Linked DNA regions of Sus scrofa. The protein of the gene in region 4 purifies or fractionates together with the protein of the main gene of each other region. This does not show direct contact. Links are inferred from orthologs where the notes say so. Each region holds a gene or a part of one and is shown on either strand. Other genes may lie near its edges.

Evidence for each region.
Region 1: the proteins of SMC1A (region 4) and SF3B3 fractionate together in Homo sapiens (co-fractionation; 3 studies listed by BioGRID, with this or other methods). This does not show direct contact. The link is inferred for Sus scrofa from reciprocal best matches to the Homo sapiens genes SMC1A and SF3B3.
Region 2: the proteins of SMC1A (region 4) and NIPBL purify together in Homo sapiens (affinity purification with mass spectrometry; 3 studies listed by BioGRID and IntAct, with this or other methods). This does not show direct contact. The link is inferred for Sus scrofa from reciprocal best matches to the Homo sapiens genes SMC1A and NIPBL.
Region 3: the proteins of SMC1A (region 4) and PDS5B purify together in Homo sapiens (affinity purification with western blotting; 8 studies listed by BioGRID and IntAct, with this or other methods). This does not show direct contact. The link is inferred for Sus scrofa from reciprocal best matches to the Homo sapiens genes SMC1A and PDS5B.
Region 5: the proteins of SMC1A (region 4) and WAPL purify together in Homo sapiens (affinity purification with mass spectrometry; 7 studies listed by BioGRID and IntAct, with this or other methods). This does not show direct contact. The link is inferred for Sus scrofa from reciprocal best matches to the Homo sapiens genes SMC1A and WAPL.
Region 6: the proteins of SMC1A (region 4) and CDCA5 purify together in Homo sapiens (affinity purification with mass spectrometry; 7 studies listed by BioGRID and IntAct, counting the BioPlex papers as one, with this or other methods). This does not show direct contact. The link is inferred for Sus scrofa from reciprocal best matches to the Homo sapiens genes SMC1A and CDCA5.
Region 7: the proteins of SMC1A (region 4) and USP13 purify together in Homo sapiens (affinity purification with mass spectrometry; 5 studies listed by BioGRID and IntAct, with this or other methods). This does not show direct contact. The link is inferred for Sus scrofa from reciprocal best matches to the Homo sapiens genes SMC1A and USP13.

What each region holds. Positions count from the first base shown.
Region 1 is NC_010448.4:13,576,519-13,579,181, forward strand, and holds the end of SF3B3 (splicing factor 3B subunit 3), read left to right. Parts: intron 1-784; coding exon 785-889; intron 890-1,552; coding exon 1,553-1,693; 3' UTR 1,694-2,163; downstream 2,164-2,663. UniProt on the Homo sapiens protein: Component of the 17S U2 SnRNP complex of the spliceosome, a large ribonucleoprotein complex that removes introns from transcribed pre-mRNAs.
Region 2 is NC_010458.4:22,151,167-22,155,254, forward strand, and holds the start of NIPBL (nipped-B-like protein), read left to right. Parts: upstream 1-1,288; 5' UTR 1,289-1,728; intron 1,729-4,088. UniProt on the Homo sapiens protein: Plays an important role in the loading of the cohesin complex on to DNA. Forms a heterodimeric complex (also known as cohesin loading complex) with MAU2/SCC4 which mediates the loading of the cohesin complex onto chromatin.
Region 3 is NC_010453.5:9,199,694-9,203,193, forward strand, and holds part of PDS5B (sister chromatid cohesion protein PDS5 homolog B), read left to right. Parts: intron 1-20; coding exon 21-225; intron 226-2,823; coding exon 2,824-2,938; intron 2,939-3,500. UniProt on the Homo sapiens protein: Regulator of sister chromatid cohesion in mitosis which may stabilize cohesin complex association with chromatin. May couple sister chromatid cohesion during mitosis to DNA replication.
Region 4 is NC_010461.5:46,199,349-46,203,426, forward strand, and holds the start of SMC1A (structural maintenance of chromosomes protein 1A), read right to left. Parts: upstream 2,801-4,078; 5' UTR 2,690-2,800; coding exon 2,581-2,689; intron 1-2,580. UniProt on the Homo sapiens protein: Involved in chromosome cohesion during cell cycle and in DNA repair. Central component of cohesin complex. The cohesin complex is required for the cohesion of sister chromatids after DNA replication.
Region 5 is NC_010456.5:87,557,679-87,561,178, reverse strand, and holds part of WAPL (wings apart-like protein homolog), read left to right. Parts: intron 1-455; coding exon 456-1,499; intron 1,500-3,500. UniProt on the Homo sapiens protein: Regulator of sister chromatid cohesion in mitosis which negatively regulates cohesin association with chromatin. Involved in both sister chromatid cohesion during interphase and sister-chromatid resolution during early stages of mitosis.
Region 6 is NC_010444.4:7,102,266-7,106,447, reverse strand, and holds the start of CDCA5 (sororin), read right to left. Parts: upstream 2,801-4,182; 5' UTR 2,673-2,800; coding exon 2,627-2,672; intron 2,400-2,626; coding exon 2,305-2,399; intron 2,224-2,304; coding exon 2,158-2,223; intron 2,078-2,157; coding exon 2,042-2,077; intron 1-2,041. Other genes in the region: ZFPL1 (zinc finger protein-like 1), read left to right, coding at 3,371-3,472, 3,785-3,896. UniProt on the Homo sapiens protein: Regulator of sister chromatid cohesion in mitosis stabilizing cohesin complex association with chromatin. May antagonize the action of WAPL which stimulates cohesin dissociation from chromatin.
Region 7 is NC_010455.5:117,783,580-117,787,079, reverse strand, and holds part of USP13 (ubiquitin carboxyl-terminal hydrolase 13), read right to left. Parts: intron 1,458-3,500; coding exon 1,283-1,457; intron 1-1,282. UniProt on the Homo sapiens protein: Deubiquitinase that mediates deubiquitination of target proteins such as BECN1, MITF, SKP2 and USP10 and is involved in various processes such as autophagy, endoplasmic reticulum-associated degradation (ERAD), cell cycle progression or DNA damage response.

The DNA.
Region 1 (2,663 bases), on a different chromosome or scaffold from region 4:
AGCTACAGCTCCGATTCGACCCCTAGCCCGGGAACCTCCATATGCCACCGGAGCGGCCCTATAGAAAACACAAATAATAATAATAATTTATTGGAGTATAATTTACTTATAATGCTGTGTTAATTTTAGGTGTACAGCAAGGTGAATTAGTCATACACGGATATTCATTCTTTTGCAGATTCTTCTGATACACAGTATCACAGAATACTGAGTAGAGTTCCCTGTGCTATGCAGCAGCTCCTTGCTAGTTATCTATTTCATATATAGTGGTGTATATATGTTGATTCCAGGTTCCTAATTTATCCCTCTCCCCCACGTTTCCTCTTTGGTAACCATAGTTCGATTTTGAGATGTGTTGAGTGTGTTTTTTTCGTATCATCTCCCCAAGTCATTCATTATTTTGTCAGTTGAAGTGATTTATTTTATTCCTTGGAAAATTATTGAAAACATACCCATATTAAGATACATGCATTATTTTGCTGTCGTTTTTAACTTGGAAATTCTCTCTAATATTTCAGAAATTTTTAATTTAAGTATAGTTAATTTTTTTAAAAATGATGTTTTCTCGCATGGTTCTGCAAACACAAAGGTTTTCATTCTTGTTTTTTCAAGTTTTAGCTGTCTTATAGCAGGAAAGCCTGTGGTCATCAGGAACAATTAGATATTTGAGATTTGTTTGTGTGGTAAAAATCAATAGCTTCTCTGTTCATTGTGCTTTGAGAAATTGTAGACTAGTTGTTGAAATTTTTTCTTTTAGTGACATATTGTTTGTTTCTTCCACCAGGATCATGACTTTTTCCAGCATGTGGAAATGCACCTCCGATCTGAGCATCCCCCTCTCTGTGGGCGAGACCACCTCAGTTTTCGTTCCTATTACTTTCCTGTTAAGGTATGTCTTTGTTGGAAATCTGGGTTGAAAGGGGGAATCCGGAGTTCCCGTCGTGGCGCAGTGGTTAACGAATCCGACTAGGAACCATGAGGTTGCGGGTTCGGTCCCTGCCCTTGCTCAGTGGGTTAACGATCCGGCGTTGCCCTGAGCTGTGGTGTAGGTTGCAGACACGGCTCGGATCCCACGATGCTGTGGCTCTGGCGTAGGCCGGTGGCTACAGCTCCGATTCGACCCCTAGCCTGGGAACCTCCATGTGCCGCGGGAGCGGCCCAAGAAATAGCAACAACAACAAAAGACAAAAAGACCAAAAAAAAAAAAAGAAAAGGGGGATCCTCAGCCATTTAACCAGTCTTTTCTCTGGGCCTCCCTCCCCTTAAAAAAACAGCAGTCTTATATAAAGGAGCACTGAGGGACTGAATTGATGGGAGACAGTAATAGGGTAGAGGAATATTCAGAGACCTCTTTCTTCAGGACAGACCATGGCCAGAGAAAAGATTTCACCTCATTTTGCTCATTTAAACTCTGGCTACTAAGAATCAACTTAGAACAGTATTCCTAGCTCTATAAAGTTCAGGTATCTGGTGGAGAATAAAAAGTTTTCTTTGGCAGTTACTGCTTTAGCATATGCCATTTTCCTTCCTCTCTCATTTTTCTGTGTCTTAGAATGTGATTGATGGAGACCTCTGTGAGCAGTTCAACTCCATGGAGCCCAACAAACAAAAGAATGTCTCTGAAGAACTGGACCGAACCCCACCTGAGGTGTCCAAGAAGCTTGAGGACATCCGGACTCGCTATGCCTTCTGAGCCCTTTTCTTATGGGGGCTTGTTAAGAGACTTTTTTTTTCCTCACCACCTGGCTCTGATCCATATGGCAGAAGGAGGGTGGCTGGAAAATTAAGATTTTGCAATATTAAGGCTAATAGCTCTTCCCCATCCACTCTTCCCCTGGAGTGACTGATTTCCCCTAAAATTGGCACTGAGATTTGCTTCACTTCTCCTTGCTTGATACATAATTCATTGCCCCCAGGTTCCAGTGTGGACTACAGTACCCATTTTCCCAAAGCTTTCTTGCATTAGTATTTCTGGCTATCTTGTCTACTTTTGTACACATCCTTAATTTTTAATTGGTTTACCTGTAAATATAGTTTTGTATGATGTTATCTTTGTGGGAGGGAGAGAGGCAAGCTGAGCTGGGGTCCAGATTTATATAGTACAATTCCAGAGTTCTGCCACTCTGGAACATAACCAGAAATACAAACCTAGTTCTTAAGGTGTCTGGTGTCCATGTGTCTTTTCTGGGGATAAGAATTTAGGTGGGAGATTTGAACCTAAGTTGGAGCAGGAAGAAATGAATATCCTCCTTCCAGCTACCTACTTAGATTTCTGGCACCTTATGGCCTCATTCTCCCAGCTCTGTGATGGCTTTTGGCTTTCTTTAGTCTTTTCAACTATGCAGGTGAAATTTGGGCTCAGTAATAACAATCATGTGGTCCTCCATACCACTGGTGTGGTCATCTATCCATACCTAGTGAGGAAGGATGGCTGATTTCTTCTTCCCTGTTTTGTTTGTTTATTTGTTTGTTTTAATTTTGTCTTGGCCTTGCCCATGGCAGTTCAGGGCCAGGGATTGAACCTGCACCACAGCAGCGACCCAAGTCGCAGGAACTCCCTTCCCTGTTTTAACTCCTTTCTACTTTGAGGCCTTAGAGTAAAGGATTTGGCATGGATTCCAACTGGCTAGTCTCTTAATAGATGCTCCTTTTACTTCCACAGC
Region 2 (4,088 bases), on a different chromosome or scaffold from region 4:
AGAGCGACAAGATCCGATTTAATCCTTTGAGAGATTTTTGAGGCAGAAGGAATAACCTGTAGGCAAATTTTCCTATTTACTTTTGGCGTAATGGTACACATACAAATACATAAACAATATAATTTACGTACGACTCAACGAAATGCAGAAAAGTATACCACAAATTCCGTCCTATTTGAGTAAAATTCTCTTACCTATGCACTTTTTACCTGAAGAATAGCCCCCTTGTAATTTACATTAGTAAACGTTAATAGTGAACTGCGGAACGATAAAGTTAATTCATGTGTTTCAGTAAGAGACACAAAGGGCGCGGTACACATAATCGCATCTGTTCTCCAGCCTTGGCCAGTGGTACCTCACTGTTTGAAACGCAAAGAGGAAAACGGTGTCTGAAATCGGCTGGCCCCAGGCCCACCCGCGGCCCGCATTCCGCCGGCTCTCGTCGCGCGCTCGGCTCCACCCACACCTAGTGGGGGGCGCGGACTCGCGCGCTCCGGGCCCGCTGAGCCGGCTCCTGGCTCGAACAGCGTCGCCTACAGGCCTTTATCCCGACTGTTAGGCAAGAGCCCAAACCGCCGCCAACAAAAAGCAAGACCAGAAAAGACCACATATTTCCAGAAATAAATGCATCATAAACGCGACTCCAATTCAATCCAGCTGAGAATCTTCTTCTCCTCCAAGGGGTGCGTTCTTACTCCGCAGAAATAATGCAGAGACGGGCGTAAAGTTCGGCCTCTCAGAAGGAGAGAAGGGCGTACATTACGATACATCCATCCACCCGGCTGCAGGGAAACCATTTAAAAAATGCACGGTAGCCGTCGGATTGCGGGCGTCCTCTATGGGGCCGCCCCGAGCTCGGCTCCCGAGAGCTAATGACGAGCAGCTGCAACGGCGTGAGCGGCCTACGAGCCGGTCCGGACCTGAGCGCCCCCCACGCACACGACCACCACCGAACTCGGGGCCCGCTCCGGTCGGCCTCCAGGAAAATAAAGAACAGGAAGACCCGGCCCGTCCGTGCCGCAGCGAAAACGCCGCTACGTAGGATCGACAATAAAAGGCAACATCCACAGCCGCCCTGAGGAGGAGAAAGGCGCAGAAGAGAACCACCGCCTGCTCTCTGCCGGCTGCCGGCCGCCGCCGGGCCGGGGTGCGGTGCGGAGAGGCGCGGGCCGTGCAGTCCGGCGCGGCCGAGGACGCGAGCTGAAGTGGTGGCGGCGGCGCGGCGGTGGCGGAAGTGGAGTGGGGAAGAGGGGGTGGTTGTTAGTGTTTGGCGCCGGCGGAGGGAGTCATTCCTGCAGCTGCACTTCCGGTCGGCATTTTGTTCTGCGAGGGAGAGACGGAACGAGAGAGAGAGACACACACAGGGCTCCTTTCCCCCCCGCCCTCCCCCCCTCCCTCCGTCGGTACCGACTCACCCGACACCACCAAGCCGCAGGGAGGGACGCCCCCGCCGACAGGAGGATTGGTTCCCGGGCCGGCGGCGATGCCCCCCCGGTAGCTCGGGCCCCTGGTCGGGTGTTTGCGAGTGTTTCTATGTGGGAGAAGGAGGAGGAGGAGGAAGAAGAAGCAGCGATTTGTCTTCTCGGCTGGTCTCCCCCCGGCTCTACATGTTCCCCGCACTGAGGAGACGGAAGAGGAGCCGTAGCCACCCCCCCTCCCGGCCCGGATTATAGTCTCTCGCCACAGCGGCCTCGGCCTCCCCTTGGATTCAGACGCCGATTCGCCCAGGTAAATTCCTGCTCTTTATTTCGGCGGCGGCGGCGGCGGCGCCAGGTCCTCAGCGTCTCTCCTCCTCGCTCCCCTCCCGGCCGTTTCCTTAGCGGCCCCAGGTCTCCTCCACGGGCGAGTCTAGAGTTCGCTCCTCTCTGGTGGCAGCCGCCCTGGGTGGCGGTGGTTTTGTACCCTCTCCCGGCCGGCTCCGGTGGCGGGGACTGGGCTCCTGCCGGGCGGCCGGGGAGGCGTAGGCCCGGCGGAGAGTGCAGGCCGCGGGCCAGCGGAATCTACTTGAGCTCGGGGATTAGGAGAGCTCCGGGCTGAGCGGAGCTACTGCTGGTCGGTGACAGGCCTCGCCCGGGAGAAGAGCCGTAGCTAGTGAGGAGGCGGAAACAATACAACTAACAGCAAATGTGCCCTGATCGTCCCCATATTTACAACTTTCCTGGTCCGGGAGTGGGGAACGTCCCAGTGAAACAAACAACCCCCCTTCTTCCCCCTGTGACCCCATGAAGGGAGGAAGTAGTTTCAGTTAGTGAGACAAATGTAAATACTCAGACACGGATCCAGTGGTAATTCTTTTCCTGTGTAAAACTTGTTTGGACGTTGGAAAGTTAATAAAGACTCATTTTCTTTTTAAAAAGAATTAAATCGTCCACATGAATATTTAATACAGAAAACCATAGTGTGGTAGACACTACATATGACCTCCCCAACCACGCAGAGAGCTTTTATGTTGTTGTTTGACAGTGTGTTGCACATGGACTTTTTATTCAAAGACAAGTATAAAGTACTTGACAGGTTTATCCTGCCACTTTATATTTGTGTGCGTTATATAAGGACAGTTTTAAACGACTTTGCATGAAACACTCAGGTACTTCCTGATCTAAACGTGTAGAAGCTTAGAAAGAATTTTCAATGTTCTGAGAATGGTAGTGACATACAGGTACAACCAATTTTCTTAAAAGGGTAGAAAATAAGTTATGCTTAAAATCCCTGGGAGGTTAAAAAAAAAAATGTACAAGGTGCCATCCTTTCATGTCAGGGCAGATCTTCTTGAGGTCCCAGGATTGCCATTGGCTGTTTGTGCCCATGATGTTTGACTGTGTAATGAGAGAGGTGTCATTTTAATAGGTCAAATGTATCTGTAATGCTGGAGAAAAATACCAGTTCTATCTTAACAAATTCTAGTTCACAAGTAAGTTAAGTGTATAGAGCTTATTTATGGTGGCGTTAGTAGTGTAGGTTGGTATAAGGGAAAAACCAATTTAAAAGTCCTCAGCCATACAAATTGCATAGAAAAATAAATGGACCTGGGTTGGGCTATTTTGATACTTTGTCTCATATTCACTGAAGGAAAACTTTCATTGGTTAAAATGAAGCAACACTGATCAACAACGTCCCTTGTTTTATTAGTGGGTGTTACATATTTTGTGTCTCATTAGATATTATTGCCATTGTAGAATAAGGAAGTTTTCTGAAGATTACTTTTGAGTTTAGCCCTCTGCTTAAAATAAATTGTTGCACATTTCCTGCAAACGTATGAATAAAGTTAAGAAGAGTGAAGTTAATATAGCTGTCACGTACTAGGCATGTTTTTAATGCTATAAATCCGTGTAGTAGTCAGTAGCGTGTCCGTGATTTGTATTGGTCAGGGAGCAGTTTGAATTTTAAAAAGCCTGAAGCTCCTGCTGAGCCCCAATCCCGGCCTCCCTCCCTCCCACTAATCTCCCATTCCTGTCTTTGTGCTGCCTGCTCCTGTTAGACACTGTTTGCTACAGGGCCTCAGGCCTACACTGGGTGGGGGGCACGCGAATGGGGGCTGGGGGGGTGGGGGGGTGTAGAATACCGAAGGGAGGGACTGTTCACTTCTTAAGCGGAGGGTTTGGGGGTGGGGGTGGGGTAAGGGCTTCAATATAAATGTTTAAAAGGCCCTTATATGATCCTGTGATTGTCTTTACAACTTTTATTTAAATATCATAGACTATGTCAAGGGATGAACATACTTCTACTAAAGGTAATGGAAAGAGTTCTGCTTGCTTAGTTTTCATCGACAGGAGCAACTTATCTTTAGCATTTTATAGTTAAGGAGCTTTCTTACACAGATGTTTGAATCAGTATGTTAGATATCTATTTATGTAATTGATTTTTTTTTATTGTGACTTTGGAATTAAAGTGAATTAGTTCTTATCAGATCTTATTTCCTTAATTCTACATATTTAGTAATCTAAGTAATATAGATGGTGCGATAGCTTTCATTAAGATAGCATAAATATTTCTTTAAAGTAGATTGAAAATATTTTCTGTTTGGTCCAAACCAATTAAAGAGGTTATTTTTAAAGGAGAAGACATTGTAAAACTCGAGTAAAACCTCA
Region 3 (3,500 bases), on a different chromosome or scaffold from region 4:
GAATAATTGTGTCTTCACAGGATGAATGCTACCAAGTAAGACAAGTATTTGCTCAGAAACTTCACAAAGGCCTTTCCCGATTACGGCTTCCGCTTGAGTATATGGCCATTTGTGCACTTTGTGCAAAAGATCCTGTAAAAGAAAGAAGAGCTCATGCCAGGCAGTGTCTGGTAAAAAATATCAATGTGAGGCGCGAGTATTTGAAGCAGCATGCAGCTGTTAGTGGTAAGCGTACATGAAAATGAAAAGTGTCCTTTTCCGTCCTGCCAGTTTCAGTTTTATAAACCTCAAGATGATGGTACTGTTATTTATTCTAACTGACCCTCATTAAATATGAGTGTTGCTCTTTTCAATAACAACTTTTCCTTTTAAAAGGTCATTTTAAAATAGAAATGCATGGGCATTTAAATATCAACCTATACCTCTTTATGTAACTGACTGAAAGGCCAAAGGAAATAAGCAGTGACTTGGGAGGTACTTTTATTTATTTATTTTTTTGTCTTTTTGCCATTTCTTGGGCCGCTCCCGCGGCATATGGAGGTTCCCAGGCTAGGGGTCCAATGGAGCTGTAGCCCCCGGCCTACACCACAGCCACAGCAACGCAGGATCCGAGCCGCGTCTGCAACCTACACCACAGCTCATGGCAACACCGGATCCTTAACCCACTGAGCAAGGGCAGGGATCGAACCCACAACCTCATGGTTCCTAGTCAGATTCATTAACCAGTGAGCCACGACGGGAACTCCATGGGAGGTACTTTTAATAAAACAGTAAAAAGTACATTTATATAGATTGTTCTTTGATCTTTGTTGGTTGACCTTACCTGTAGCTGACATGAAGAGCAGGTTCCTATGTGCCTTTTTAAAAGCTGCTCACTTTACCCCTCCATGCTGTTAGTTTTTGTGCCTCTCTGACTTCTTGGACTTGTTTAACATCATTAAAATCCATCCAGTTATGCAAGTCAGAAATCAGAGACATTCTTCATGTCTTCTTTGTTCCTCTCATTGGTCACTAAATTCTCTTAATTCTTCTTCTGAATATCTTGAATATTTCTCCTCAGCTCTCCTACTCTGGTATATTTCACTTGGGTTATCATATATACTCCTAATTAACTCCTTGTGCAAATGTTCCCCTGTTTCTGGCCCATCTCCAGCTGTGCCACATTACTATCAAAGTAATCTTTCTAAAACAGATCAGATCACATCACTTCCTTACTTGAAATCCCTGTTGATTCCTTATTGCTCATAGGATCAGGTTGAAAAGCATGAGCATAGCCCTTTATAGTTTATTTTTACCCTGAGTTTCAAGCTTTCTCTCAGCCACTCCCTACTGTAAATTCTGTGATCCTCATACTCTAGATAATTTGAAATTTGTGCAGTTGTCTTTTTTTCTCTTTTGTCAACTCTGCCTGGAAATTGCCTCCCCCTTCTGGCCAAACAGATAAACAAAACCAAGGAGAGTGGTTTGCGCCCCCTTTGAATCTTTTAAAATACAGTTTTGGTGTTTCCTCATCACTGGGACCCTCTTTGTTCTCTTCTTTCCTCACCTTGTAAAAAATGAGGGCTCTGGAGTCAAACCCACCCCTGCCAATTACTAATTGTGTTTGGGCAGGTCACTGTTGCAGTCTTAGCCTTAGTTTCCTTATTTGTAAGGTTAGTATAATTTTACTCATGTCTTATGTTAGTTATGAGGACTAAAAAATTATGTGTATAAAGGACCTGTCATAATGCGTGGTCCAAAGAAATACTCAGTAGTTGTTAGCTAGTCTTATTTTAGGGCACTTTCCATAATGAAGTATAGCTTCTGTCCTGTCTGTGCTCTAGTGTGAGGTCTTTATCTAGTTGTATTCATCTTTACATTTAAAATAGGAAACCCCGATAAAAAATAGTAGACCTAGAAAAGAGGAGGAAGCGCTCAGTAACTATTTGATAGACTTTAATTCAAATTTCACTGAATTTTGAAACTTGCTACATTTTTCTTCTTCTATACCTACCTTGAAATGAAGGATATTACACACAAACTATTTTCTTTGAGTTCAGTAATAGAAATAAAGAAAACTTGGTGCCTTATTGACACATATATTTTTGTGTTCTAGGTTGAACATCTGATTTAAAATTTTATTTTGAGAGTAGGAAACATGAAAGGAATTGTTCAGAATATGAATCCTGGTCTTTTGAGTAATCTGTACTAAAACTAGATAGGATTTCCATTTTTAACCTTTGATAAAATACGTAGATCTCAGTCAAAATATAAAAATATTTGAATTTAAATTAAACTTTGTTATTTAAAATGCCCTATAAACAGAATCTATTCCTTTATATCTGTTCTTCTGTTACAAATAATAGCCAGAGTGTCAACCTTTACTTCGTAATTTTTTCTGCCGTACTAAATGAAACATTTACTAGTTTTTATCATTTTGCTCAGCAGCTTACAAGGGAGTATTGAATATTGAGTTGCTAATAATAAAAAGACAAATAGTTCTTATGTTTCTTAGTCTTGAATATGGTTTGGGTCACTTTTCCCTCTATCTATTGAAAATTCCAATATTTGTCTTTGTAGCTTCAGCACATGTGCATTTAGTAGGCATTTCAACGTTGGACATCATGGATGAATGAATAAGCTGTTTAACTTATGATGTACCTCAGCATTGGACGTTTCAGTGTATTACCATATTGTGGTAAACTTTTGGGGTAGAGGAAATAGAGTATCAGAGAGAAAGAGAATGAGTAAAACTTGGTTTTCTAACCTGGATGTTTTTGTTTTGTTTTGTTTTGTTTCTTTCTTTTTTCTTTCTTTTTTTTTTTTTTTTTTTTTCTTTTTCAGAAAAATTATTGTCTCTTCTACCCGAGTATGTTGTTCCATATACAATTCACCTTTTGGCACATGACCCAGATTATGTCAAAGTACAGGATATTGAACAACTTAAAGATGTTAAAGAGTAAGATTTTTTTCCATCCCATTTTCATATGTTCTGAAAGTTTTTTCCCCTTTCCTGCTGATAATGGAATCTTAGTTATAATCAGTTTATTAAATTTATTTCATTTATTAGGAGTTTAAGATTCTTTACCTTATTTGTTCTCTTTCTTTTTTCATACCATTGCTTCACATTTCATTTCTTAGATAGTTTCCCCAAACAACCTAGCATAATTATTGTATTACTGTCCTATTTCTCTACCAGCCTAACAGTTCTCTTCTACTTAAGCAGTCCATTAAGAGTTTCCATTCCAACTCTTATCTTTTCCTACTTTCCTCTGTAATGATGTATAGATTTTCATTTGGGGTGAATTAATACTCTCTTTATTCACATGGTGAGGACATTTTCTTTGTAGTTACCATCTTCCTCCCTAAGGAAGAGAGAAGTGGTCTGATTCGCTAATAGCCCAGGTTGATAACCAGGGAACTGCGCCTGCTTGCTCCTTCATTGGTGGTTCTCTCATTAGAGCTTCTAAAAGCTGCAGTTCTTTCAAAGATTCTTGTAGACAGGCTGAAAGAATATCAAT
Region 4 (4,078 bases):
TAGCCACCGGCCTACGCCAGAGCCACAGCAACGCGGGATCCGAGCCACGTCTGCAACCTACACCACAGCTCACGGCAACGCCAGATCGTTAACCCACTGAGCAAGGGCAGGGACCGAACCCGCAACCTCATGGTTCCTAGTTGGATTCGTTAACCACTGCGCCACGACGGGAACTCCCCTTTGGGTTTCTCCCATGCTATCCAAGGATGGCAAGAACATCTCACAACCAAAGCCCCCCACTCCCAATCATGCAATACTGTAAACATGCATTATGACTAGAACAATGACACTATGTTTTAAGGAATGTCTTATTAAATGTCTTCTCCATAGACCAGTGACTGAAGATAAAAAACATATACCATGAATAAAAGATAGAAGAAAATAAATGTTAACATGTACCAAATGTCTACTGTGTGCCAGAGAGGAATTCACTAAGGGGAATCAACCAATGCCTTGTGGAGTCCCGTATTGAAGAATGGGGCAGAAGTGACCCACTCCCACCCGCTGCAGTCAGACCAGGGCCTTTTCAGAATAGCTGGGTATACAAATTTTTCCATGCTGAGGGGACTAGATGCCAAGAGATGCATCCCTGCTCTTTCCACAGGGGCCACCACACCAAACTCCTAAGAAACTGCAGTGGAACCCCAAGCATTAGTCATCTAGGCCAGTAGTTCGCAAATGAGGTAGGGTAGGGGGAGAGATTTTGCCCCTGCCTCCAGGGGACATGACAAAGTCTGGAGACATTTTCATTGTAACACCTGGGAGTAGGGGCTGGGGGGTGTGCTACTATCATCTAATGAATAGAAGACAAGGATGCCACTAAACATCCTACAATATACAGGACAGACCCCACAGCAAAGAAGTATCTTGCTGGAAATGTCAATAGTGCCACTGTTGAGAAACCCTGTTCAACGGCTAAATCCAGGTCAGACTCCAGGAAGGTCATCAGTTAGAGCTACTGCAGTTAGGGAAGCCCCTCGGGCTAGGAAGTGATTTAGCTAGAACACCTCCAGGGTGGAGAAACACAGCAGAACTTCAAACAGACAGCCTACTGGGGAGTAGATGGGAGGAATCCATGGTGTATCATTTAGAGATGGAGAATTTAGATATGAAATAGAGGCCTTATCTGGCTACCCCTCCTTTTGGCTTTCCTTCCCTTCTCTTTTCTTTTTTACTTTTCCACCCAGTTTTAATTTGATATAACTAACATGCAACATTGTATTAGTTTCAGGTGTACAACATGATTCTGTATTTGTATATATTACAAAATGGTTGCCACAATAAATTTAATTAACATCGATTACTGCAGTTAATTTTTTTTTTGGTCTTTTTTTTTTGCCTTTTCTTGAGCCGCTCCCGCGGCATATGGAGGTTCCCAGGCTAGGGGTCTAATCTGAGCCGTAGCCATCGGCCTACGCCAGAACCACAACAACGCGGGATCCTAGCCGAGTCTGCGACCTACATCACAGCTCACGGCAACGCCGGATCCTTAACCCACTGAGTAAGGCCAGGGATCGAACCGGCAACCTCATGGCTCCTAGTCGGATTCGTTAACCACTGAGCCATACCGGGAACTCAACCTCAGTTAATTTTTTCATGTGATTTTTTTAAAAAAAAGATCTCTCTTAGCAACTCTTAAATATGCAATACAGCATTGTTAATTAATGACCACTTTTTCTAAAGAGCTATCCAACTGATTCTATCATATTGTCACTGAATTACATCAATCTAATTTCCTGGATAGCACTTATCACAGCTGAAAAATAACTTATTTTCTCCTTTATTATCATCTGTCCTCTCTGAAATGTAAGTTCCCTGAGAGCATGGTTTATTCTAGTCTCCACTGTTTCCACAGAACGTTGATAGAATAACTCTTTATAAAACAGTAATAAGCATTGACTAAATTTGACGAGCAATTGAGTTCTGACTTTTGACGGTTTCAGGGGTAGGAAAGGGGTGAATTCGAGACATCCCCACCTCTCAGATGAGGGTGGGGGCTAGAGACCCCAAAGCACTCCGTAGACGCGAGCGCTGAGTCCGAAATTCAAAAGTGCCGCCTCTGGAGGAGGGTTTTTTTATTATTATTAAAAAGGGGGGGGGATTGAAGTGTACCAATGAGAGGCGGGAGGGGGCGCTGGGCTGAAGCAGAAGTATACCGTTTGGGCCGGAGGCCACGGGAGGGCTACCACAGTCCCAATCTTCCGGAGGGTTCAAACAATACGCTGAGGCCGGATGCAGCAGGTCGGGCGAGGAACTGCGTGGCCAGCGACTGGCAGCCGGCTCGGGACGCGCCACTTTTGGCGGGAGGGGGCAGTGGGCGGGGTAACGTTGAGTTCGGCCCGTACCACTCCGGCCCGGGCGGGGGCCGCGCAAAGAGCGGGCAACTGACACCTGGGGGTGAGGTTCGAGTCAGAGCACCCAAGGAGGGAAAGCGGGTCCGGGTCGAAACCCCTCAGGAGGGCAAGGAACCCGTTAGGGTTCGCAACACTTCTGGTTGCACAGGCTGGGTTGTACTACTCTGCTGCCGGATAGGGGGTCCAGGCTGGGACGTGCGCAGGGCCGCAGCCGGGCTTATCTCACCAGAGCCATTGGGTCCAATGATGGCGGTGAACCTCTGAAATGGTCCGATAATCTGTCGACCCTTGTACGACTTAAAGTTCTCGATCTCAATCAGCTTCAGGAAACCCATGACCGTGGCGGCGCCGGCAGCGGTAGGAAAGGCCGCGCCGTACGCCCGCGAACTGGGATAGCCCGCGCGGGAAACACCGCAGTGCAGGCCGGGCGGAGGGCAAACCTCGCGAGAATAAAGCCAGGCCTAACAGGATTTTCGGCTTCCGGCGCGGGCGGGAAACAGGGGCGGGGCCATCAAGCTGACGTAGAGGTTTCGTTGATCCTTTGCCAGGGCGCGAGATTATGACAGGCGTCTGGGCCCCACCCCCCCTTTCTTGTTACGTGGCAACAGAAACCGCCGCCGCTGCCTACACAGTTGCAGAGGAGGTGTCTGGGAGGAGTCTGCAGCTTTTGGGATCCCGAGAAGCTGGCAAACGGAGCCAGCGCTAGCAGAGACGAGTCAGAAATCACAGCAGGGTTATGCCCTCCAGGGCAAGAAGGTGGGAGCTGGGCTGTGGCTTTTGTCTGGCAGGCGCGAAGGCTTAGACAAGAACCCAGTCGGGAATTTGGAAGGGCCCCAGAGAACGGAGGGCTGTACGTGGGGAAGGAGAGGCCAGAGGGTTAGAGGAGCTCAGATCTTGCTGAGAATGAAGTAGAGTTGGAAGTGGAGTGGGGTGGGATAGAGTGTGAAGGGGGATGGAGGGTGAATGTATGGATATGAGGGTACTCTGGAGCGACTGGGTTATGGGCTGGGGAAAACTATAAATGGCCAGAGGTACTGCTCCGTCCCCTGCTTCCCTCCCGTTTCCCCAAGCAGGGTTCAGCGACTGCCGCTGTAGCCCAAGAATAGTCTTGGACCCGAGTCACTTGCTGACTGCTTGAGCCTAGCCCCAAACTGAGAGCTTCAAAATTGGGACTCCTAGCTGAGAAAGGTATTTTGTGTGAACCCCTGGGAGTCAGGGTCCCTAAGCCAGTGCTCTACACCTCTATCCTTCTTCCCTTCTCTCCACTTCACCTCTCTCTCTCTCCATGCCTCACCCCCATCCCATCTCCTCCCCTCTATCCCTCTCTGCCCCATCCCTTGCTCCCTCCCTTCCTCTTCTGTTCTCCACCTCCACCCCATCAACTGCCTGTTGCCCTTCTTCTTTTCCCCCTCTGTCCTCTTCCCCTTTATGTTTCCCATCTTTTCTACCCCTCTTCTCCATCCCTCACCCCCCCCCATCACCTTATACCTGCTAATAACTAAGCCATGGCTTTATGAGTCCAAGAAGCTGTCTGTGGGATCTTCCCCTTCAGTGTGACCTTATATCGTGGTAACAGATGAGTAGGCTGGGGTTGGTGCTTAGACTTAGACATGGAAAGGGTCTGGTGGCTGCCATAGCCATTCCTGTAACTATTTTTTAAATGATGCCTGGGGGGAGTCCCCATGTGGGGCAGCCCCCGTGTGGGGCAGCAGAAATGAATCCAA
Region 5 (3,500 bases), on a different chromosome or scaffold from region 4:
AAAGCCAGTGATCTAACCCGCATCCTCATGGAAGCTAGTTGGGTTTGTTACTGCTGAGCCACGACAGGAACTCTGTTTTTTTTGTTTGTTTTTGTCTCCTAAATTTAATATAAGCATTTTTATCTCAAAAATCCATAGTACCTCTGAGAAGGTTTGGTTGAGTTTCATTCTGAATTGATCTTTAACATTGTTGAAATCCCATGAGTTTAGGGTAACAATTTTAAGGGACTTGGATGCCTAGGGAGGGGTCACTAGAAGACATGAGACCTGCACACTGAAAAGGTAGAAGGGGAGATGTCAAATATGTAAACATTTATTTCTTTAAAATTGAAAGTTATTGCAGTTATTTCAAAATTAATTGACTATGCTATTAATTAGGCAACTGTCCTTTTTATTTAACTTTTACATTGATGTCATTCATGTTTTTATCCTTGACTTATTTTTCATTTTTATAGATAAAGTGGAGAGCTTTAGTGAAGAACATGAAAAGAATAGTCACCATATTTACAAAAATGCTGAAGACAGTACTAAGAAACCCAGTGCAGAAACTACAGTGGCTTCTGGATACAGAGCTGATGAAATCAAGGAAACCAATGATACTTGGAACTCCCAGCATGGAAAAAGATCAGAATCTCCATCAGAAACATCTCCAATCAAGGGATCTATAAGAACTGGTTTGTATGAATGGGATAATGATTTTGAAGATATCAGATCAGAAGATTGTGTTTTAAGTTTGGATAGTGGTCCTGTTTTGGAGATGAAGGATGAGGATTTAAAAAATCGATTGGAAAATCTAAATGAAGCCATTGAGGAAGACATCATGCAAAGTGTTCTTAGGCCGAGTAACTGTAGGACGTACTGTAGGGCCAATAAAGCAAAATCCTCACAAGGAGCATCAAGTTTTGATAAGCTAATGGACGGCACCAGTCAGGCCTCAGCCAAAGCAAACAGTGAATCAAGTAAAGATGGCCTGAATCAGGCAAAGAAAGGCAGTGTAAGTTGTGGGACCAGTTTTAGGGGGACAGTTGGACGGACTAGAGATTATACTGTTTTGCATCCATCTTGCTTGTCAGTTTGTAATGTTACCATACAGGATACTATGGAACGCAGTATGGATGAGTTCACTGCATCAACTCCTGCAGATTTGGGAGAAGCTGGCCGGTTAAGAAAAAAGGCAGACATTGCAACATCTAAGACCACTACTAGATTTCGACCTAGTAATACTAAATCTAAAAAGGATGTTAAACTTGAATTTTTTGGTTTTGAAGATCATGATGATACAGGAGGTGATGAAGGAGGTTCTGGGAGTTCTAATTACAAAATTAAGTATTTTGGCTTTGATGATCTCAGTGAAAGTGAAGATGATGAAGATGATGACTGTCAAGTGGAAAGAAAGACAAGCAAAAAAAGAACTAAAACAGCTCCATCACCCTCCTTGCAGCCTCCTCCAGAAAGCAATGATAATTCCCAGGACAGTCAGTCTAGTACTAATAATGCAGGTAAGACTTAAAAAAAATTATTGCAAGTAAATAGGTTTTTCAGGCTTAAATAACAGCTACTTAGTTTCCTCCTAGATAATCAATTTTAGTTTGTTACCATGTTTAATTTTAATAGAAGTACCTATTTAGAGTCAAAGATTACCTTATCCAAAGATACAGCACTTTAAATGTTAATAAAGTTCCACTTTGTTAGGAACCAACTTGTAAATGGAAGAGTCTTTTCATGTTTGTATTTTATTTCCACCATTAGCAGTTGAGTTTTTAAAGTGTGTGTGTGTGTGTGTGTGTGTTCTTGTGTCTACAGGTTTTTCAACTTCGAAAAACCAAATGCAGTGGAGACATAAGGATAGATTCTGGTCATTTAGTATGCTGTTGATATTAAATGGTTATAATGAGGGAAATATGGGAACATTGAAATAAAGCCTTTGTAGTTGTCTCAAAACTAATCAGCTAATGTTAAAAATGTTCTAAAGAAATTTTAAACTTATAAAGTTAAGATTAAATCTTAATCTTTGGAATCACTCACTTGGAATTCCCGCTGTGGTGCAGCAGGTTTAAGAATCTAGCATTGTCTCTGTGGCAGTGCCAGTTTGATTCCTGGGCCTGTGCAGTGGGTTAAGGATCTGGTGTTGCTACAGTTGTTGCGTAGGTTGCAGCTGCAGCTCAGATTTGGTCCCTGGCCAGGGAACTTCCATATATTATGGATGTGACCGGAAAAGAAAAAAAAGAATCACTCTCTTAAATTGAGTTAATACTATTGAAAAGTGCTGATTAAGTATTTATACACTCTTACCAGTGAAAAATTAATTTGCACTTTAAGATAGATAGTAGAATCAGTAATGACTCCGCCTTTGAGGAGTTGGTAGTCTCCACTGTGAGAGACAAAGGAAAGAAATAGGTTGGCTTTGCTCTGAACAAGTCATTACTTGACAAGGGCTTTGTGAAGTGGATTGAGTATTGAGTGAGGAAGCCTCAGTGTGAAAGCCTCTGGGACACAGGGGCTATCTTTATTTATATTTAACCAGTACAGTTTTCCTTAACAGTTTACTTGTTAAATAAAGCTTTTGTCCTTTTAAGGTCGTAGAAGAGTTATTATGGTGAATTAAAATTATCATAGTATTCATACATATAGGTTCTCTTGTAAAGTATGTCATACCATTTTGCTTTATTTGGCTTAAAAATAGTTTTGCTAGATTAGAATCATGTGCATAAATAAGTTTCAGAATTTATCCAATGTTTTGAATCTCTTCTGGAGAACTGAAGTTTGCTGCAGCCTTGCTCATCACTTGAGATTTGACGGGGCAAACAGCTTTACATTTGCTTTCTCAGGAGGATGATAAGTTAATTATGTAATGAAACCTGAGCTCCATTCCTGCCAGAAGCTACTTGACTCTTATGCTAACCTTGATAGCAAATTATCCTAATCTGCAGGTCAGAATCTGTGGCTGAAATTTATATTTTAAAACAATAAACTTTTTAAGCTTTAAAATAAGAAGGTTGGAATCTGAGTCTTCATATATTGTATGAATAGCAATCATTTTTAAGGATTGGAATAGAGAAAAGTTTATTTTTTTATTTTCTTTTTTCTTTATTTTTTGGTTTCGGTCAGAAAAATTACAACCATTTGGAAATTAATACTTTGGTTAGTTTTGTGGGAATGTATATCCACAAACGACTGAACTACATTGTACTAGGTCATTCTATGTCTTTTGCTAAGGATAACTATATCCTTTTTTTTTTTTTTTTAAATGTGACTTTTGTAGATGTAAGTAGGCATTCTTTAAAGGCAAGTGTGATTCAGTGTACTTAAATTCTGGAAAAATAGTACAGGTAGATACCACCTAATGGTATGTATATGTGTGTGTGTTTAAACTAGACCATACCAGCGTCAGTGTCTATAGATATCTAGCAGTTATATGAACTTTATATAAGAAGAACTTTATATAATTTGAAGAACAAATATTCTGGAAAATAATTAATTTTGGCAGTAAAACTGGAGCA
Region 6 (4,182 bases), on a different chromosome or scaffold from region 4:
ATGGCCTCTTTCCTGGAGGCCGCTCTGGCTTAGCACACTCCCTGCCAAGGTCGGCTGCAGTCACACCAAACAAGCCACTGCTCCCCAAACCTCGTGCTTTTCCTTGTGGACTCAGATAGTCCATCACTATCTCATTTTCGCTGTTCACTGGTTGACTGTCACACCCAATTAGACTGTGAGCTTCACATATGAGCAGGGCTTTCCACCTGTTGGACCTTAACCTTGCCTGTGCCCATGTCTAGCGCCTTCAGCGGAGCCCTGCATGCAGCAGGTGTTCAATAAATGCTCACTGAATTAACTTATGCAAAACGTGGCACTGAGTTTCCTGACGGCCAAGGCAAGGAGAGAAAAAAGACAAATTCAGTGACACTTTTGGTCTAATAAAGTTATATTTGGTTATCAAGCCAGTTCCTGAAACTACCATGACCCTGTAAATCAATTATCCTTCAATAAAATAAAAAGTAAACTGATTAAGAGAGGGGGGAGGGTTAGTTCCTGGTACAAGCTCTGGGGAATCTGCCCCATGAGTCTAAGTAAAAGGGATGTTGAACAAAATGAGGGGTCACTGACTACTTCCTCAATCCCTACAGCTAAGCAGTCATCCACGTCCTTGCAGTTTTTTGGGGGGCTCAATTTCATGAATCTATTATTCGACCAATAAGAAAGAGTGGCTATCATAGTGGAGGCAGAAGTCTGCCCTCGAGACAACAAACATGCAAATAATATACTCTCAGCTATGAACAAGGCCTATGGAGAACCACATGGAAAAGGCTTCCAGGAGGAGCTGTCCTTTGAGCTGAGTCCTGTGTGACAGGGGTGGCTGTGTGGTAAGCCGGGGGCAAAGCAGCACTCTGCCTTTCCCTTACTTCAGGCTCCCACTACCTCACTTCAGGATTCCATTCAAGTCCTCCCACCTGGCCTGAGGTCCCCAGAAGGCTTCCTCCAACCTGTTCTCCACCCAGACCCAAGAGGGATCTTTCTAAAACATCCAGGCTTGCCTCAGTTACTACCTTGCTGAAGACTCTCTAAAGCTGCCCACAGAGCCAAGAAGGAAGCCCAACCAAGCTTAGGAAAGCTAGGCTTTCATGCCTCATCAAGATCCGCTCTGGCTTAGCACACTCCCTGCCAAGGTCGGCTGCAGACGCACCAAACAAGCTACCGCTCCCCGAACCTCGTGCTTTTCCTTGTGGACTCAGGATGTCTGCAAGCACAGCTTCCTTTGCCTGGGATGCCCCCAACCTGTTTTCATCGACTCTGTTTAAACGCTTCTGTGAAACATACCCCAAGCTGCCTGGTCTGGGTTAGGCACCTTCATAGCTCCTAGTCCTTTCTCTTTTGCAGTCTTCAGCACACTGTTCCCACTTATTTTTTTCTTTCTCCCCACTTGACTGTAAGCCTTGTGAGCTACTCAAAGACAGTTACCATTTCTCATTTATGATACCTTCAGGCACAGATCTTGTTACTGAAACTCCTTAACTATGATTTCTGCTAAAACAGTTAAGGACATTATACTATACTAAGGACAACAGACTAGAAAAAGTAATTAAAACAGTTCAACTCTTGGAGTTCCCGTCGTGGCGCAGCGGAAACAAATCCAACTAGGAACCATGAGGTTGCAGGTTCGGTCCCTGGCCTCGCTCAGTGGGTTAAGGATCTGGCGTTGCCGTGAGCTGTGGTGTAGGTCGCAGATGCGGCTCAGATACCGCATTGCTGTGGCTCTGGTGTAGGCCAGTGTCTACAGCTCCAACTAGATCCCTAGCCTGGGAACCTCCATATGCCGCAGGTGCAGCCCTAAAAAGACAAAAAAAAAAAAACCACAGCTCAACTTTTAAAGGAAAATGGTAGAGAATACCAGCGCAACAATAGCTAGACACCGCAAGTATGCAAGAAGTGAGCCAAACTGGCAACACATGCAGGTATCCAAAGGTAAATTATTTCAAAATACAACAAAAACAGCTCCCCAGGCAGATGTGAGCAGCCATTACGCCCCAGCTCGAGTGTCCTGGGTTGCCTTCAACTAAGAAAATGAAAACGAACTTACCCTGGGGCTTCTTCGAGGCGTGGGAACAGATGGAGTCTGTGGAGACAACATTAAGTGATCACACAGCCGGCCCCCTATTCTGGCTCCCCGTGCTCAAACCCTCTCTCAGCCCTCACCTCTACAGTATGGGCCACGATCTTCTTCAAGACGATGGGCTTTCGGACTGGAGCCGCCTGGGGTGCCTGGAGGAAGAGGGGTGAACATGAGCTCTGCATTCGTCCAGGGGCCTCCGGAGCAGGAGGACTGAGGAATCCCGGGCTCACCTTAGGCCGGATTTCTGGGAAGGTGCTTGGAAGATCAGAGCCTGATTTCCGCTGGGACCTCCTTAGAGACTGAGTAGGAGTTGGGGTCCTGGGCCCTGGAAAGAGAAAAATTTAGGAGGCGGGGGAGGACTCTAGACCTTAGAGTTTAGAGTCCTCAGGTTCTGGAGAGAGCGAGAGAGTCTCCCAAACAAGCCCTCTGTGGACACCTTCCTGGGCGGGGAACAAGCCTCCAAAGGCAGTGAGGGTGGCGGGAGGGCCTTCCTCACGGAACTGCGTCCCTCAAACGGCTCAGCCCCATCTCTCCCTCGCGCCCTCCGCTCACCGGAGCTCTGGGCGGCCCCTCCGGACCGCGTTCGCCTCTCGGACATGTCTAGCCTTGGGCTCGATCTTCGCCGCCGACGCCACGGCCGCACGCTCCCGCGCCAACCCGAAGCGCAAACGTTCGAATTGCCCGCCTCGCTCGGGAGGAAGCGGAAGTGACGTTGGGCGGGAGGACCGATAAGCCCTGGTTACACCGTTTGCACCCGCCTCCACGTCTAGCGTCTGCAGGGGCGGGGCCAGTGGCGCGCTGGCGTCATCAGCACGCGCCGCACCCGGAAGAGACGTGGCAGCGGAGGGATAATCGGAGCGTTCTGAGCTGGAGAAAGCTGAGCGAGAACTCGGCTGAGCGCAGTCTGACCTTCTGCGGCTCGGAGCGGAGCTCGCGCCTCTGGGGACCGGTGCAGCCCCGGATTGGTAACACAGAGTACGGTCTGTGGAGGAGGTGGGGGCGGGGCTTGAGGGGGTGGGGCTCAGGAGGGGCCCCTGGGGGCGGGGCCGGTGGTATCGGAGGGGTCTGGCCGCGGGTGGGATATGGGAGGAATGGGGGGGTCTCCGGAGGTGGGATTTATGCAGGGGGCGTGTCTCGGAGTGAAGAGGGACGGTGGGCAGGAATGTGGGGTTGGGGCGAATACAAGAGGTGTCGAAGGCGGTTAAGAGTGGAAACGAACTGAGTTGGTGAGTGCGTAGTGGCGGCCCCCAGAACCTGGTCCCCTGCCACTTCTGACCCCCTTCCTCAGGGTCGACTATGGGGCTTTGCAAGTGCCCCAAGAGGAAAGTGACCAACCTGTTCTGCTTCGAACACCGAGTCAACGTCTGCGAGCACTGTCTGGTAGCCAATCATGCCAAGGTGGGTGTTCAAGGGAGTGCCTGTGCAGGGCACAAGGTAGGCAGTTGGTATTGACTTCCTCCAAATCCATGAAGGTCTTGGCCCTAGAGTGGAAGCTCCACGAGGGCAAGAGCTTAATTGATTTTGTTCACTGTTACATCCCTAGTTCTTAAGACAGAGTCTGGCATACAGTATGTGTTCAATATGTGTCTTTCCATTGGTCAAATGAAAGGATGGGGCTCTTCTGTGATGAGAGAAAAAGAGGCATCTGGGCCTTGGGGAGATGGGCTGTGGAGCCCTTGCTCCAGTTGTGATCTCTTTCTCCCACTCCAGTGCATCGTCCAGTCCTATCTGCAGTGGCTCCAAGATAGCGACTACAACCCCAATTGCCGCCTGTGCAACGTACCCCTGGCCACCCGGGAGACGACCCGCCTCATCTGTTATGGTGAGGCCTGGGCAACTTGGGGGGATCAGGACAGGCCCAGCATGACTAGTTAACAGGCCCTCCCTAAGCAACAGCACAGTGAGACACTCAGGCCTGGGAGGCTGGAGCCCCAGATTCTGGTCCAGCTAGGTTACTTGCTTTGAGCTCAGGCAAGTCACTTTTCCCTTTCTGGGCTTTAGTGTCTGTCCCTAGAAATTAAAGCTCCTAATTTCTTCCCTGCCAATGTCGAGGGTTGAGTGAGAGCCAGCCAAACTTGTGGGTGTAGTTGTGGCTGCAAGCAGTAGCT
Region 7 (3,500 bases), on a different chromosome or scaffold from region 4:
CTCAGTGGGTTAACGATCCGGCGTTGCCGTGAGCTGTGGTGTAGGCTGCAGTCGCGGCTCGGATCCCGCGTTGCTGTGGCTCTGGCGTAGGCCGGTGGCTACAGCTCCGATTCAACCCCTAGCCTGGGAACCTCCATATGCCGCGGGATCGGACCAAGAAATAGCAAAAAGACCAAAAAAAAAAAAAAAAAAATTAAGGTGTCAAATAAGGAAAAAAAAATTTTTTATTTGGCTTTTTTAGGGCCATACCCTTGGAATATGAAAGTTCCCAGGTTAGGGGTGGAATCAGAGCTACAGCTGCTGGCCTACACCACAGCCACAGCCACATGGGATCTGAGCCACATCTGAGACCTGCACCACAGTTCATGGCAACAATGGATCTTTAACCCACTGAGAGAGGCCAGGGATTGAATCCACATCCTCATGGATACTAGTCAGATTTGTTTCTGCTGCACCACAACAAGAATATCAAAATTCTTATGTATCTGAGAGCAAGGCTTTTAGAACACCTGCTGACCACATCCTAAGCAGCTCGTTGGAACAATGCTCAGGATCCCTGATGTCCCCTTTGAGAAACCCTCAGAGCCCCAGCTGCCAGGCAGGACCACAGCCACCAAGTCCTAAGGCAAATCTTTTTTTTGTTTTGCCACACCCACAGCATCTGGAAGTTCCATGGTCAGGAATCAAATCCCAGCCACAGATGCCACCTATGCCACAACTGCACCAACACCAGATCCTTAACCCACGACGCCAAGCTTCAGCAGCAACCTGAGCCACCACAGAGACAACACCAGATCCTTAACCCACTGTGCTACAGCAGGAACTCCAGCAAATCTTTCATTATCAAATTAAAGTCTATCACAGTAGAGTTTAAAAATTGAAGACTCTCAGAAGTATTTATACTTCTGATATCATTCTTGAAGCAGGGAAGGATTCTTGACTACCCCCTCTTGGCCAAAAAAAAAAAAGGCAAATTCCCTAAAGAGGACAAACCACAGCCTGGCTTTTTTTTAAAGGCATCCACATCCTTGCATATGATATAGATTACAACAAGCCTGTTTTACTGTACAAGTCTCATACAAGTGAGGTCTACGACAACTATGGTTGTGTAAATTATAATCCTATTTCACCACACTTGAGTCAAGCATGCCCAGACTCATACAGTGCCTGCCAACCCTCCCTACCACAGTCCCCACCTCTCAAGGTCCCCTCCTTACCCTACTGCCACCACATAAGCGAGTGCAGAAACATTACAAACACACACACACACACACACACTTACTTTACACCCGCAGACTTTGCTTGTAGGGCACTGCTCCAGAAATCATCAACGTTTTCTGGTTCAGAAAAGGCCTGAAGGCAGGCACTAAATGGTATCTTGGCACGCACCAACTCGGGAAGGGGTCTTCTATTTGCTTCTGCTTCCCTTCTCGTTAGTTCATAGGCGATCAACTCATCTAAGCAAAAGAGCAAACAAATGACTTTGCAATCACTTATCTTCTTGAAATAAAAAAGACCCTCTTGGGAGTTCCCATCATGGCTCAGGGGAAACGAATACGAATAGGAACCATGAGGTTGAGGGTTCAATCCCTGGCCTTGCTCAGTGGGTTAAGGATCTGGTGTCATTGTGAGCTGTAGTGCAGGTTACAGATGTGGCTCAGATCTGGTGTTGCTGTGGCTGTGGTGTAGGCCAGTAGCTGTAGCTCTGATTGGACCCCTAGCCTGGGAACCTCCATATGCCAAGGGTGTGGCCCTAAAAAAAAAAAAAACAAAACCCCTTGGACAATGAGCAATCTTCCCTGAAGGTCCTGGGCTGGGACAGGATTGCTTACTTGCTGCCCTCAAAGAGCCACAGAAGCCTGCTCAAAGCTTGTTTAGAGTGGCACCACCAGGCTGCATCAAGCCATTCATAGTTTTTTACCCATTCCGTTTGAGACTGATAGGAGGGAACTATCAACTCCCACCCAAGTGAGGGGGTCAAACCACACATGTGCCATAAGTGATGCATGAACCTGGTCTTTCATTTGTCCAGAAGTCAAGGCTGGTTTAACCACACACCACCCTCAAATCACAAAGCCTTCACACCACAGAATTTCACACTGAAAGAGACCTGAGGGCTCACCTCTTCCTGGGCCTGTCACTACAATTAGAGGTCATGGAGGGTGTGGGCCAAGGAGCAGGAAGAACTACAAGAACTGCAGTTATCCGAGGCACCCAGCCCAAGATTCTAACAAACACTGCCAAGACAACTTCATGCTGGGGTTACCCGACACTGCAGAGAGCAGGGAAGCCAAAGTCAAAATGTTATATAGATTTTGAATGGAACTTTCTGGGAATTTCTTTTGTGTTACCAAAAAAAAAAAAAATCACTCCTGATTTATCAGCTTTTTGGCACACTGATAAACACTTGTGTTTTCTTAAACACATCTGGATATGCTTTTACAATTCATTCCCCAGTCCACAATCAGTTTACAATGTACTTCTATCTAGGATGCTAGCATTAGGCATTCCCAGCAATTTTCTGAGACTAAATCATAAATCTCTTTCCTGAAAAAAAAAAAGTTACCTCTCATAAGCTATCAACAGTCAATTAGAGAAGATCACAGAACTGAGCAGAATATGTAAGTCACTATCCCCAAAGTAGGCAAGAGAAAGTGATGAAGCCTGGTGCTAAAAAGGAAACAAACCACAGACCCCCACCATCATTTCCTTTGTATAATGAATAAGAATTTAAAAACTAGGAGTTCCCATTGTGGTGCAGTGGAAACAAATCCAACTAGGATTCATCCCTGCAGGATCGATCTCTAGCCTCGGTCAGGGGGTCAGAATCTGTAGTTGTTGTGGCCTATGCTGTAGGTTGCAGACACAGCTCAGATCTGGTGTTGCTATGGCTGTGGCACAGGCTGGCAGCTGTAGCTCTGATTTGACCCCTAGCCTGAAAACTTCAATATGCCACAGGTGTGGCCCTAAAAAGACAAATTAAAAAAAAAATTAAGAATTTATAAACTAGTCAAAAGCTGCATGAGTTTATAGAAAATGGAAATCATTCCATCTTAAAAATCATCACAAGAGTGCCTGATGTGGCACAACAGGAACAGGGGCATTTCTGCAGAGCCAGGGCGCAGCTGCAGCTGAGGTCGTGCGGCTTGGATCTGATCCCTGGACTGGGAACTCCATATGCTGTGGGGCAGCCAAAAAAAAATCATCATAATCATCACTTTCTAATTAACACAACTAAGTGACTATCCCCTCCAAAAAAAGAGGAAAAGGTCACCCGGGGAGTGGCTGAACTTTGCAAAAATGACCAGTTCACGGGAGATAAGCAAGTCAGCAGATATTTCTCCTTTTCCTGCTTCTAAGATGTTAATTCTACTAATTCATGAAGAACCAGATCAGACTGATTGAAGGAACCTTCCCCTGAGCCTCCACCTGGTTCCAGTATCTGCCTTCTTCCTGCTTCCTAGGTCCAGAGACCCTCCTAAGGGGCCTCACTCCACAAA